Linked DNA regions of Arabidopsis thaliana. The protein of the gene in region 2 interacts with the protein of the main gene of each other region in a pairwise test. Each region holds a gene or a part of one and is shown on either strand. Other genes may lie near its edges.

Region 1 (3,759 bases), on a different chromosome or scaffold from region 2:
TATCCAACGTTTAAACAAAGTTCAAATTTTATTTTAATATATCAAACTTTTGTCTGATTCTTTTCAAATAATGCCAAAAAACAATTCTTGTGAAAATATTATGTAGATAAATTGTTTGTACTTGTAGGTTCATCATAGATTCATAGTCTCCAGAATTCAACTCAATGGTCAATAATCAAATTAACTCCTTTTAATATATTTGATGTTTTGACTGAAAGCTAAAAGCATTTATTTGCAATCTACTCTATTTAAGCTTTTGAAAGAAACTTTTTTTTTTGTATTCTATTTATTATTATTATTTTTGTTCTTATAGACGGAAAAAAACCAACGTTGCAAATATTTTAACGCACGTTGTGTCAAAAACTGAGATTAATTAACCGATCCAATGGCCTAAAACTTGTTTTTACGAAAGAAACAAAAAAATTAAGTGTGATTCAACTATTATCATCCTACTTAAAACGAAAAATTCCACACTAATGAAAAATATAAAAAGTGAGCACAATACAGACCAATATAATATTCATACGATTCATCATCTCCATATGTGTAGTCGGGGTAGCCAATGTTACAATTCTGCACAAATTTTAATTAAGCTAAAAAAAACAAATTAATTAAGAAAAAATGCAAAACCGTTCTAAACTAAAATCTCTTTAGTCTTCTCATCCATCTCTAACAAAGAAGACAGCGGCAAGAAACGTACGGACATCGAGGAAGTCTCATCGGAGGAAGAAGATGAAGAACACGACGTGTAAAACGACAAGGGAGACGATGGAGATTCGCCAAGAGTCATACTATTACAACAAGAAGTGCTTGCTTCTCCAGCAGCGGCGGCGCGTGAGGCCGAGACGCCGTCATCTTTGGAAATGTCGTTATTGATGATGGCTTTTTTCGTGTCTAGTGCTAAGTTCATGAGGAGATCGACGAAGGCCGCGAAGATATATCGATGGCTGGTCTTGGCGTTGACTTTCAAGAACTGAAGGAGAAGCTTCTCGAGGCTTTTCCAGTCGTGGTGAAGCGCGTGTGCCTCAACCATCTCCTCCATGGATCTCTTGAAATCAGAGTAAGGGTCGTCTGATTCCAAGGAGAAGAGCATGAAGCCTTCTTCTTCGTCCTCTTCTTCTCGCTTGCTCGTAGCTTCTTCAAGTATAGAGTTGGTTTCTCCTTTGCTTTCGAAGATGAGTCTCTCTGATGATCTTAGCCCTTTTATCACATTCTCTACGGAATCTGTAATCTCCGGTGGGTCGAGCAGGTCGAGCTCATCGTCGTCTTGGTCGTGGATAGGGTTGGTGAAAGTGATGGTGGCTCTGAAAGATAAGGTTTTAGGGTTTTGGTTACAAGAAGGCCATGGCCATGAAGAGGATGATGAATTTGAAGAATATGAAGATGTTGAGTGGTTCTTGTTTAGAAATGGGAGTTTCATATTTTTGTTTTTGTTTTCTCTGAGAAAACTAAGACAAGAAACTAAATTTGGTTTTCTTCTTTTAGTTTTGTTTATATGTTTTGGGGATTGGATTCAAAAATAAGAAACTGAGAGAGTTAATGGAGTGAGGGAGGGAAGATTTTAAGGGTTTGAAGGGGAGAAGGACAGAGAGGATTGGTAGGGTCTCTATTTCTTTACTTGTTTTAACGTCTATGAAATTTCTTTATTAAATGTATTTGGTTGTTGTATTTAATTATTGGCTTCAAAATTTAATGTTGTTTGGTTGGGGTTCATTCAATACTATAATTCAGTACCTTTTCCCGGTTAAGCTGTTTACGTATTTATTATATAATGAATGATACTTTCTTGTTTTCGTTTTTCCATTCATCGTAGCTTCTTCAATCTGACTTAATTCACAAAGTATGTTGAAAGGATTCTACATGGTTTATTTTATCATTTAGAATGTAGGAGCATATCACAAATTATTGGTTTTGAATCCGACTGATATTTAAAAATAAAAATTCGCCTAACATCGTTTACTGTGTTACATTATTGTATGAATAAAAAAAATAATATCAATTGTTTTGAAAGTTAGCTAAGTGTCAATGATCGTGATTTCAAAAAAGATAATTGAAGCTTCCGTACTTGGGGACTACATATATGTTATTGCACGTGGCAAAGGAACGTAATCGTTATTTCTAAAGAAAGACAAAATATTAGGTCACATTAAGATAGTTCAATTTATTATTTTAATTAATTTAGTTCCATTCTGAATCCATGTCTACAGAAGTAAACATCTATAATGGATAGTCATGTAAATCAAAAACCAAAATCGTATCAGAATTATCAATACTATTTGTATTCAATTTTTGTATAGTTACTATTCTTTGAATTTGAAACCAAAATACAGCAAAACCCAAAGAGAAACGAAATCCAAAAATATCAATCATAATTTAGACGTCAAACATAAGATAAATGATTTAAATGGAAAAGAATGAAACATAGATAATTATATACTCCATAACAAGAAAAACTCAACCACCAGTTAAACCAACGAATCAACCAACCAACTGACCAACAAACAAAAGATATGAGGTCAATTTTAAGAAATTTTGTAAAATCAGACAATATCCAAACTTTGCAATAATGTTGTATTTAATACTAATTGTTATTACACGCCTCCTCCCCAAATCGGAAACATTTTTTGTGTTTCTCTTTCATGGAAACTGCTCGCACCTGAAACCTATTTACATATATTTATCTATAGGTTTGCATCTGTCAATACATTACGTATAATGTATATTGCATGTTAACTTTTATGTCAATAATTCTAGAAATATTACTACATGTAATGCTCGAAATAGATAGTTTAATTTCTCACTGAGAATGATTCTTGCATAAAAATAGTATAACTGAACTGTGAATGTATATTGTTTTCTGTAGAATGCAGTAGATCATAGAAATAATTAAAAAAATAAGTAATCATAGATCGTATCGGTGATTTATATTTTATAAAAAAAGGCAATGCCATGTGAGTCTCTCACACAAATCACAATTCCATTTTGCACGTAACTTTCACTCACGTGCCTCTCACGCGTCGCCAGTGGAGAGATTGCGACACGGGAGGAGAGATATCAAAATCATTATCATATCAAATATTAAAAAGCTAAAAACATCTCAATTGACAAATAATAATATATTATATATAAAAGTAGAAGCTTCCAAATAATTATAGAACTACGAGCGGAGAGATTAGACAAATCATGTGGATTTTTAAAAGCGAAGATAATGATTGAAAGCTGTATGCCTTCTAAATTCTTATTATGAGACATTGTCTTCATGGATGCTTCGTAGACGTTTCATTCGAATAATCACATTTTCTTTCTATAACAATATCCATCCCTCTTAGCTAATCATTGTATTTTTTTAATAGTATTTTGGTCCATAGAGTAACTATGAGTATTAACACTATTTATGCAGGGTCTAAACTTTAGATCATGCAGAGAAACAATATATGGATCATGTATCTAAAGATTTCAACATGTATTTCACAAACCATGATAGATACTACGGACTTTTATAATTTTCTCTGTTTTCTCACGCTTTTCTTTTAATAACTATTGAAAGTCATGATCAAGTCATGATAGTCTGATAGATCATAGTTTGGCTATTAAGGTTAAAGCTGATAGACCCTGATTCAGGATTCATTTTTACAACCAAATCGCGATAGATTGTAATTTTTAGGTTCATAAATTTCAAGTCGATAAAGCAAGATCCGAATCCGAGATTCTCAACAAACGATATCAACAATATTTCGAAGTTTTCATATGAAACCATGC
Region 2 (3,759 bases):
TAAAAAGTAACATTGTGGATTAATCTCAACTCCAGAATAATAGAAGATTATTAAGAGTACGAACCGAAACAGGAAAAGCGACTTGAGATCAGTTGTCTTAAATCGTTACAGTGAAAATAACAAGACATTGCTTTTGACTTCCACTTTAAGTTAAGAAGAAGCCTACCCCAAAACGGTAAAAAAATACTCGGTTTTTGCTTCAGACACAAAGATTCACTGTCTGAATCCGTGGCATAGAAGCAAAGTAGATACCAAAATTGGGAAAACTCTCTACCAGCAAATTCAAATCAAAAAGGTCAAACACACAACGAATTCTGCCACCTCAACCCACAGCTCTTAAAGATCAAAACAATCATCTCAGCCACCAAACTTTAACCTAAAGATTTGGCCTGTGCTCATTGAGCTTTATCGATCACAACAAAACCACTCACCGCCCATTGACCATGCCCTTAATCTCTATGTTCTTCACCATCCAAAATATTCATTGGGTACACAAAAGGGAAAGCCTTTCTTGTCTCCTCGCTGATGAATGAAAACTTGAGGCTTAACAATGACAATGAGTATTCTAACTTCCTCTTCGAATCACCCAATTAGATAGCAAAGGAGCTTCACCGTCTTTCTTCCTTTCATCTTTTTATTGCTTCCATCTCAGAGAACCACTAAGCTTTACTTGTTGAATAGAAGAAACCCTGAATTGATCAAGATCAAGCCAAGAGACAAAACACAAACAAATACTTGTGCCCTGTGTGGTTCTGTTACATACTATGTAAATGCAGCTTCCTACTTACATCAGGGGACACTCTATGAATAAGTAGAAATCTAAAGATAATGGATTTGAATCATTCAGAAATCATCACCAGCTTCAGAATGTTATATATATGTAACAAAGGGTTGTTGGATCTTTTATAAGAAGAAACAGATAAAAATGAAACCCAGATCTGGTTCTTACAGTAACAGATCTTAACACAATCTCTCTCTCTTTTTAATCGTCATCATCTTCGTTGATGATAAAATCATCACGCTCAATCTTTTTTTTTTGTTCTTCCTTTTTTTCTCTTTCAATATGATATCAAAGGAAAATGGAAAAACAAAAGAGCATAAAGTTATCATTTTGTAAAATTTGAGAATTTTTTTTGTGTGTAATCAACGGATTTTTTTTGTAAAGCAGCAAATCAGAGACGTAGATCGGTACAGTGGAGATCATCTATCCCGCCAGCGAATAAGTCAACGCCATCCAACGGCGGGAAATTAAGATCAAACTGAAACGGCGTTTTCCGGCGGGAAGACGAAGATGCGATATCATCTCCGTCGTCAATAACAGACGACGAAGAATCGCAGTCGCTATGACAATCCTCCGGAGCTACCGGTGGAGTTCTCGGATATCTCTTAATCGCATGTAACGGTTTCGCCACCGACGAAGACGCCGCCGCGGCTTCCATCGGTCTCGGTCCGCTACAAGATTTAACGGTGCTGCTCATGCTGCTACTCGCCGGCCGACTAATAATCTGCTGCTGCTGCTGCTCCTGGAAATTACCTCCGCCGTATAACCGATGGTCCATAAACGGATCGATCTGGTTCTGAATCACCGGAGGAGAACAGAGGTTTTGATTGTGGAGGTAGGTGAGAGGTTGGAGAGGAGAAGAAGGAGAACAATCGATCGGGAAATTGGTCTTGGCCTTTGGACCACGGAGGTTACGTGCGGCGGTATCGTAAGCGCGTGCAGCATCTACGGCGGAATCGAAAGTACCGAGCCAGACACGAGATTTTTTTAATGGATCACGGATCTCAGCTGCGAATCGACCCCAAGGTCTCTTCCTAACGCCTCTATACCTCGGCTCCTTCACAGATCCACCGGCGGTTACTGGAAGGGCGGGTCCAACGACGGAAGAGCCTCTCCCTTTCCTCATGGAGAAGAAAAAAGATGTAAAGCCAGAAGTAATGTGATGAAGAAGAGATCTGTGTGTGTTTGTGTGAAGAAGAGAAGAAAATGTTGAAGAGAGAAGAAAGATGAGGAAGAAGATGAAGGAACAAAGGGTAGAGATTGGAAATTATTATTATAATTCTCTTTTTTTTTTTCTAAATAATTTACTCAAAGAATTTTCATTTAATAAATTAATTAAAATAATAATTTATGGTTGGAATAGCTTTTTCTTTTCTTTTTTTTTTTGGTTGTTAATTTCGATTTTTTCTCTACCTTCACGCCCGACCCACAAGACCGACCAATTCGTTTCTTTAAAAATTTAATTATGGAGTAACATTTTTCCTAACTTGGATTCTTTTTTTCTTTTGCTTTAAACTTTTTATTCGATATATTGTGTGGAGAAAAAAAAACAAAAAATTAAAAAAGAGTTCACAAGAGATGTCTCGAAATGCGAAGAAAGTAAAAGAGGGTAAGCACTTGCACTCTCTGTCCTGACCCTGACCACAATCTATATAATAAAATCTTATGTCTTACTGTTTGTTTGTTATCAAATTGATGCACCTAGAGACCAAATAGTCCACTTGTAATGACCAAAAACACCCTCCAGATTTTATTTTATTTTATTTAATAATACACCCCTCTTCGAAATTATTATTAGTTTCTTCTCCTTCCTTTGGGACCCTACAAGAGACGAGACGCGCTTATCGGCATCGTCGTCGTCTCCCGTGTTAAAAGTAAATGCCGTGTTGAGGATACGCATTAATGTGGAGAAACAAACATTTTTGTTCTTATAAAAACTGAATTATGTCTCTCCATTAAACCCCAATCTCAGAACACAAAACGAAAACAAAAATAACTCTAAAGAAGAAACAACACATTTTTCGAATTTTTAAAACTTGCTTACCATAAAATTCTGGATTTTATTTATCCAGTCTAAAATCTACAGGCTGATCATAGTAGCCTGCTTAGGGATTTGATGAGTAGTTTAAGGTTTTTTCTTGTGGCTTCATCTCCTGTGAATCCCAGAATATCTGAGCTTATACTCTACAATCAAGAAAATCAAAAACCAAGTCTTTGTTAACATTGTTTCTTCCAACTTGTCAAAGCTGGTATTGATAGAATAAGAAGAAAAAAAAGTTTACCTCGACGTTCTTCAAAGTATAAACCAGAGTGTAGATTGACTTCTGTATGAGTTCTGTATTCTCAGGAGTCATAATTGACGAATTAACCTTTCTGCAATGTAACCAAAATGAAAATTATATTTTTGCTGTCTACTGCAAGAATATAGGTTCTCATAATCACAGTTATCACTCAGTTGATCATACGTATGTAAGTAAACGAGCTTTTGCATATATGTGGTCCAGGAACATACATTAAGTGACAGAAACAGTAGGCTAGCAGAAGATAAGTAGAGGCAACACAAGATAAATTATTGAAATTTTAAGACAATAGAGGAAAGATTGAAAAGCACTGATGAGCAAAGCAGTTAATTTAACATGGAACCCATAAGATAAGACACATTTATGCATAGATATGTATGTGTTTTAACTTTTTAACCATCATCTCTTGTTCAGAAACTTAATCCACAAATAGAGTGTTGAAGCCACATACGAGAAATTGAAGCTAGTGTGCTTATATCTATCGTAAGGTCTGCTTTCATCATGATGCAGAAAGAGTTTTGCATTTGCACTATGGAATTCAAAATATTCATAATGATATACAGTCGATATGCCAAGATTGTTCCACTAAGAGCTATTACCTCAAATCGTCAGAAGCTTGGGTAAGGCTTCGAGTAAGACACTCAACTTCCTTGAGCAAGCCGCTATCACGAAACTCAG
Region 3 (3,759 bases), on a different chromosome or scaffold from region 2:
AGTGGCTTTCCAAAATCCTGCTTTCGTGGCTCTATTGGTTCGAGTTCCCGTGGGATACTTCTTGTCTTTATGACTAAAGAAGTACCATTCGCTCTGCTCTTCGTTTCCTATCTTGCATAACTCTAAATTATCACAAAGAAAAAACAACAATCGTAAGCCTTAATTTATACCAAAACAAGGATATCACTACTAAAGAGAGATGATAGGATTTTCCTGCTAAACCTTGAAGATCACATGGCTCAATCTTGTAAAGATCAACATCCTTGATGATATCGATTTCTATTCTCTTTGATGCAACTTTTTTCCTCAAGTAGTAGTCTACAAGTTCTTCATCAGTAGGATGAAATCTGAAGCCAGGAGGTACTTGTGAAAACGAATTCATTCTTTATTCTTTGTTTTTCCGAGATTAGCCTGTTTATAATATGAAATAACGACTGTTAATTATATTATGGATCATGAAAGTAATTGTTATACAAACTCATTTCATTTATCAACTTAAGAAAAAAAAAAATCTGTGCATCGGCAAACTAATAAGAAAGAAAAATGTCAATGAAACTAAGAAAAACAGTTTTTCGTTTTCAAGATTTTGTTTTATATATGATCTAGCATTGATTTGCATCGTTTCTTTTACTTAGCCAGACACAAGTTAGGGTTATCTTTCCGACTTATTTATACACACATATGTATCATTTAAGACATTCATGTGTGTAGTATTTTGTGGGAATAAGAAACCTATAAATATCTATACATCTTTAGAAAAAAAGAAAGATAGTTGATTTAAGCCGATTAAATGAGTTTAGATTCAAAGGACTCTGGAAGATGGAATAAGGATACATAAAATAAAATATCACTACTAGTTTCCAATTAACCATTTCCCGTATAACTAATCATAAATTAATATGTTAGATTAACTGATAATTGCATTTTAAGTATCCGTAAATAGAGTCAAAGGAAAATATGAGAAATATCTATAGGATCATTCTATAATCACCAATCGAAAAAAAACAAATCTTAAGGAAAAACCTAGACCACGATCGAGTCTATTAAGGATTATACTTTGCTTAGCTTGTACCATCAGCAACATTGAGTAGGATAATGATGTTAATTATAATTTTAAAAAATCAACAATTATCAAGAAAATAAAAATAGTAAATATATCCAAAAACATAGAGATACAGAAGAGGATCAAAGATGGAGTAGAATCTTCAAAGGAAGTTAGGGTCTATACCTCAAAAAAAAAAACTCAAAAACAGGCTGATTCAACTCAACCCCTTCAAAAAGCTCCGGAATTGAGTTATTGTATGTGACTAGCTAGGTTCTATTGAATCTTTCCCTTGTACTTGGAAAGATCGAATACTTCACGATATGCACTATAAAGTACGATCAGAACTAAAGAAAGAGATAGATAGAACCCTAAAAGGAGATGTTATGCATATGGAAAAGATTTGACAGTTATCATCGGGATGTATAGCCACCGGAAAGAGATCGGATCCCAAGAGTCAGAGATATTGAGAGAGAGGATGGGAGAAGAGAAAGAGAGTAGGGTTAATAAAGAAGATCAGACGGTGATGATGATGAATAAGAATAAGAAAAAGAGAGAAGAAGACACATGAAAAAGTGTACAACCGTGTCCTAATAATCTATACTACTTTGTCTCTCTCTCTCTCTGTCCTTCTCAATCATAGTCTATGTCTTTTAATAACCCCGAGTGAGATAGAGAGACTTAAATTGTTGCAAAAGCTTCGGGAGAAAAGAGAGGCGAATAAGGTTTTGGTACTAAAGCAAGATTTTGATAGAGAAAGAGAGCGGCAACCTCCGATCCATTACCACCCACCAGCCCTTGATGGAGACGGTCCAAAGTTTAAAATATCTTCTTTTTTCTTTTTTAAATACCGTTATATATATGGGACACATATTCTCTTTGAACATTTTGTCCTTTGGCATCTTCAAAAGTAAGTTCATAGATTTCTGTAAGACTTAACTCAGTCATGTTCTACGGTCCAAATTCGTAGTCTAAATGTTAACATGAGTGTCTAAGAATCCTCGATAAACATCGCATAACTATATTGAGACTTTCGTATGTTCTTTTTACTTTGCATGAGACTTAATTACCATCCAGTTTAGCCAAATTATTATAAAACAAAACAAAACAAAACATAAAAACACGAAACAAAATAATATATATAGATGAAAAAATCAGATGTGGAATTGGAGCCACTATTAATGGAATCAAGGGCCCGCCAACAATTGGAATGTGTTGACGTGGCGGCTGATGGTCTGGCGTGAGATAGGCTTCGATCATTAATCTCACAATTTGCTGTTCGGTCATGTGGGTCTCATCCCGTTTTCCCGTTCTTATTTGTGAAATTTATGACCCATATATAACAACATTAACAACACACATTTTATTTGAAAGTTTAAATCATCAATATTAGATGTTAACAAAAAAAAATCATTAATATTAATTGTCTTCTGTTAAAAGAGTAGAGTAGGTTTCAATTTATTTTCATAGGTGAAAGCAAATTTTGCATACGCTTAAATTTTCAACTTTAATTCACCCCATACTCTATTGCAACTCAATACTCCCTCTGTTTCTATATAAATGTAGCTTAAGGGTTTTTATTTTTTTTCAATTTAAGTGTTGTTTTCAACTTTCTATGCAAATAATAAATATATTTAGTATTCTTTAACCAATTATATTTAATCATCTATTTTTTTATTGGTTGAATTGGTTATAATAAATGATGTTTTTATATAAAAGAGGTAGATTAAATGAGATTTTTATGACTTCTTAATTTGTGTGAAAAAAACCTTAAACTACAACTAATATGAAACAGAGGGAGTATAAATCTTTATCGAAATTCTTTCATCCAATGTTCTAGGGAAATTAACAACAACAACAAAAATAAAAAAATCTAACTAATATCAGCTTCATCTAGACATTTGTGACAGAATTTCAGTTGTTTTCTAAAACTCAACCTATTATAGTATTATATATGATGAACTGATAATACAAATAAAAAGGTTCATGAGTTAATGGCGCTAAATCAAAAATGAAAATAAATATAAAACATGTATTCGTTTTTACACTTTTAGTCTTTTAGAAGAAAACAGCATACATTTGTCATTAGAAATTCATTTTGTGAGATTTGAGGTAACATTGAAGGTAGTGATGTTGATCGTAGCTAGTTTCCGTTTCATGAACATAGTTTGAATGCCATGTAAAATATGCCTTCTGTTAGTTTTTTTTCAATCTTACATTTTTTTTGTCTATGACTACAAAACACATATTGCTTAACGAAGTGTTAATATTTTTCATTACTGTATGTTATTTTCTTGTTACGATTGGATGACATTAGCTTAAAAAAGTAATTTGCATGGTTATCATATAAGAAACATTTCAAATTTCATAAATGAAACTGATTTTGAGTTGACTTTCTCTAGATATTGGTTGACAGCTAAACTTTAACTTTCTCACTGGATAATTAGTTTTGTAACTAATTACCAAAATAAGATTTTTAGATCTAATTTAGGTAAGTTAGGTAATATTGAAATTACAATACAACTTTAGGTAAGTTCATCAAAATCTGGATTAGTCTGCGGCTGAGGTTTGGGACTTTAGGGCAAAGTTGTTTTTCAGCGAAATTTATTAATTAATAAAATTTGGAAAATGGGCATTGAGTTATTTTAGTTTTTTTCTTTATTTCGTGTTGTTGAAACGAAGTACAGAAGTAAAGCAAAAGTAAAGTGCGTGATCCT

The links.
Region 1: the proteins of ERF7 (region 2) and OFP15 interact in a two-hybrid assay, tested with the Arabidopsis thaliana proteins (one large-scale study listed by BioGRID).
Region 3: the proteins of ERF7 (region 2) and ANAC026 interact in a two-hybrid assay, tested with the Arabidopsis thaliana proteins (one large-scale study listed by BioGRID).

What each region holds. Positions count from the first base shown.
Region 1 is NC_003071.7:15,135,218-15,138,976, forward strand, and holds OFP15 (ovate family protein 15), read right to left. Parts: upstream 1,796-3,759; 5' UTR 1,421-1,795; coding exon 635-1,420; 3' UTR 351-634; downstream 1-350. UniProt on the Arabidopsis thaliana protein: Transcriptional repressor that regulates multiple aspects of plant growth and development through the regulation of BEL1-LIKE (BLH) and KNOX TALE (KNAT) homeodomain transcription factors.
Region 2 is NC_003074.8:7,084,785-7,088,543, forward strand, and holds the start of ERF7 (ethylene response factor 7), read right to left. Parts: upstream 2,111-3,759; 5' UTR 1,908-2,110; coding exon 1,173-1,907; 3' UTR 1-1,172. Other genes in the region: ABCI15 (trigalactosyldiacylglycerol2), read right to left, coding at 2,873-2,965, 3,064-3,154, 3,681-3,759.
Region 3 is NC_003070.9:23,217,535-23,221,293, forward strand, and holds the start of ANAC026 (NAC (No apical meristem) domain transcriptional regulator superfamily protein), read right to left. Parts: upstream 1,676-3,759; 5' UTR 1,229-1,675; intron 467-1,228; exon of another isoform or gene 412-466; 5' UTR 383-411; coding exon 223-382; intron 123-222; coding exon 1-122. UniProt on the Arabidopsis thaliana protein: Transcription activator that binds to the secondary wall NAC binding element (SNBE), 5'-(T/A)NN(C/T)(T/C/G)TNNNNNNNA(A/C)GN(A/C/T)(A/T)-3', in the promoter of target genes.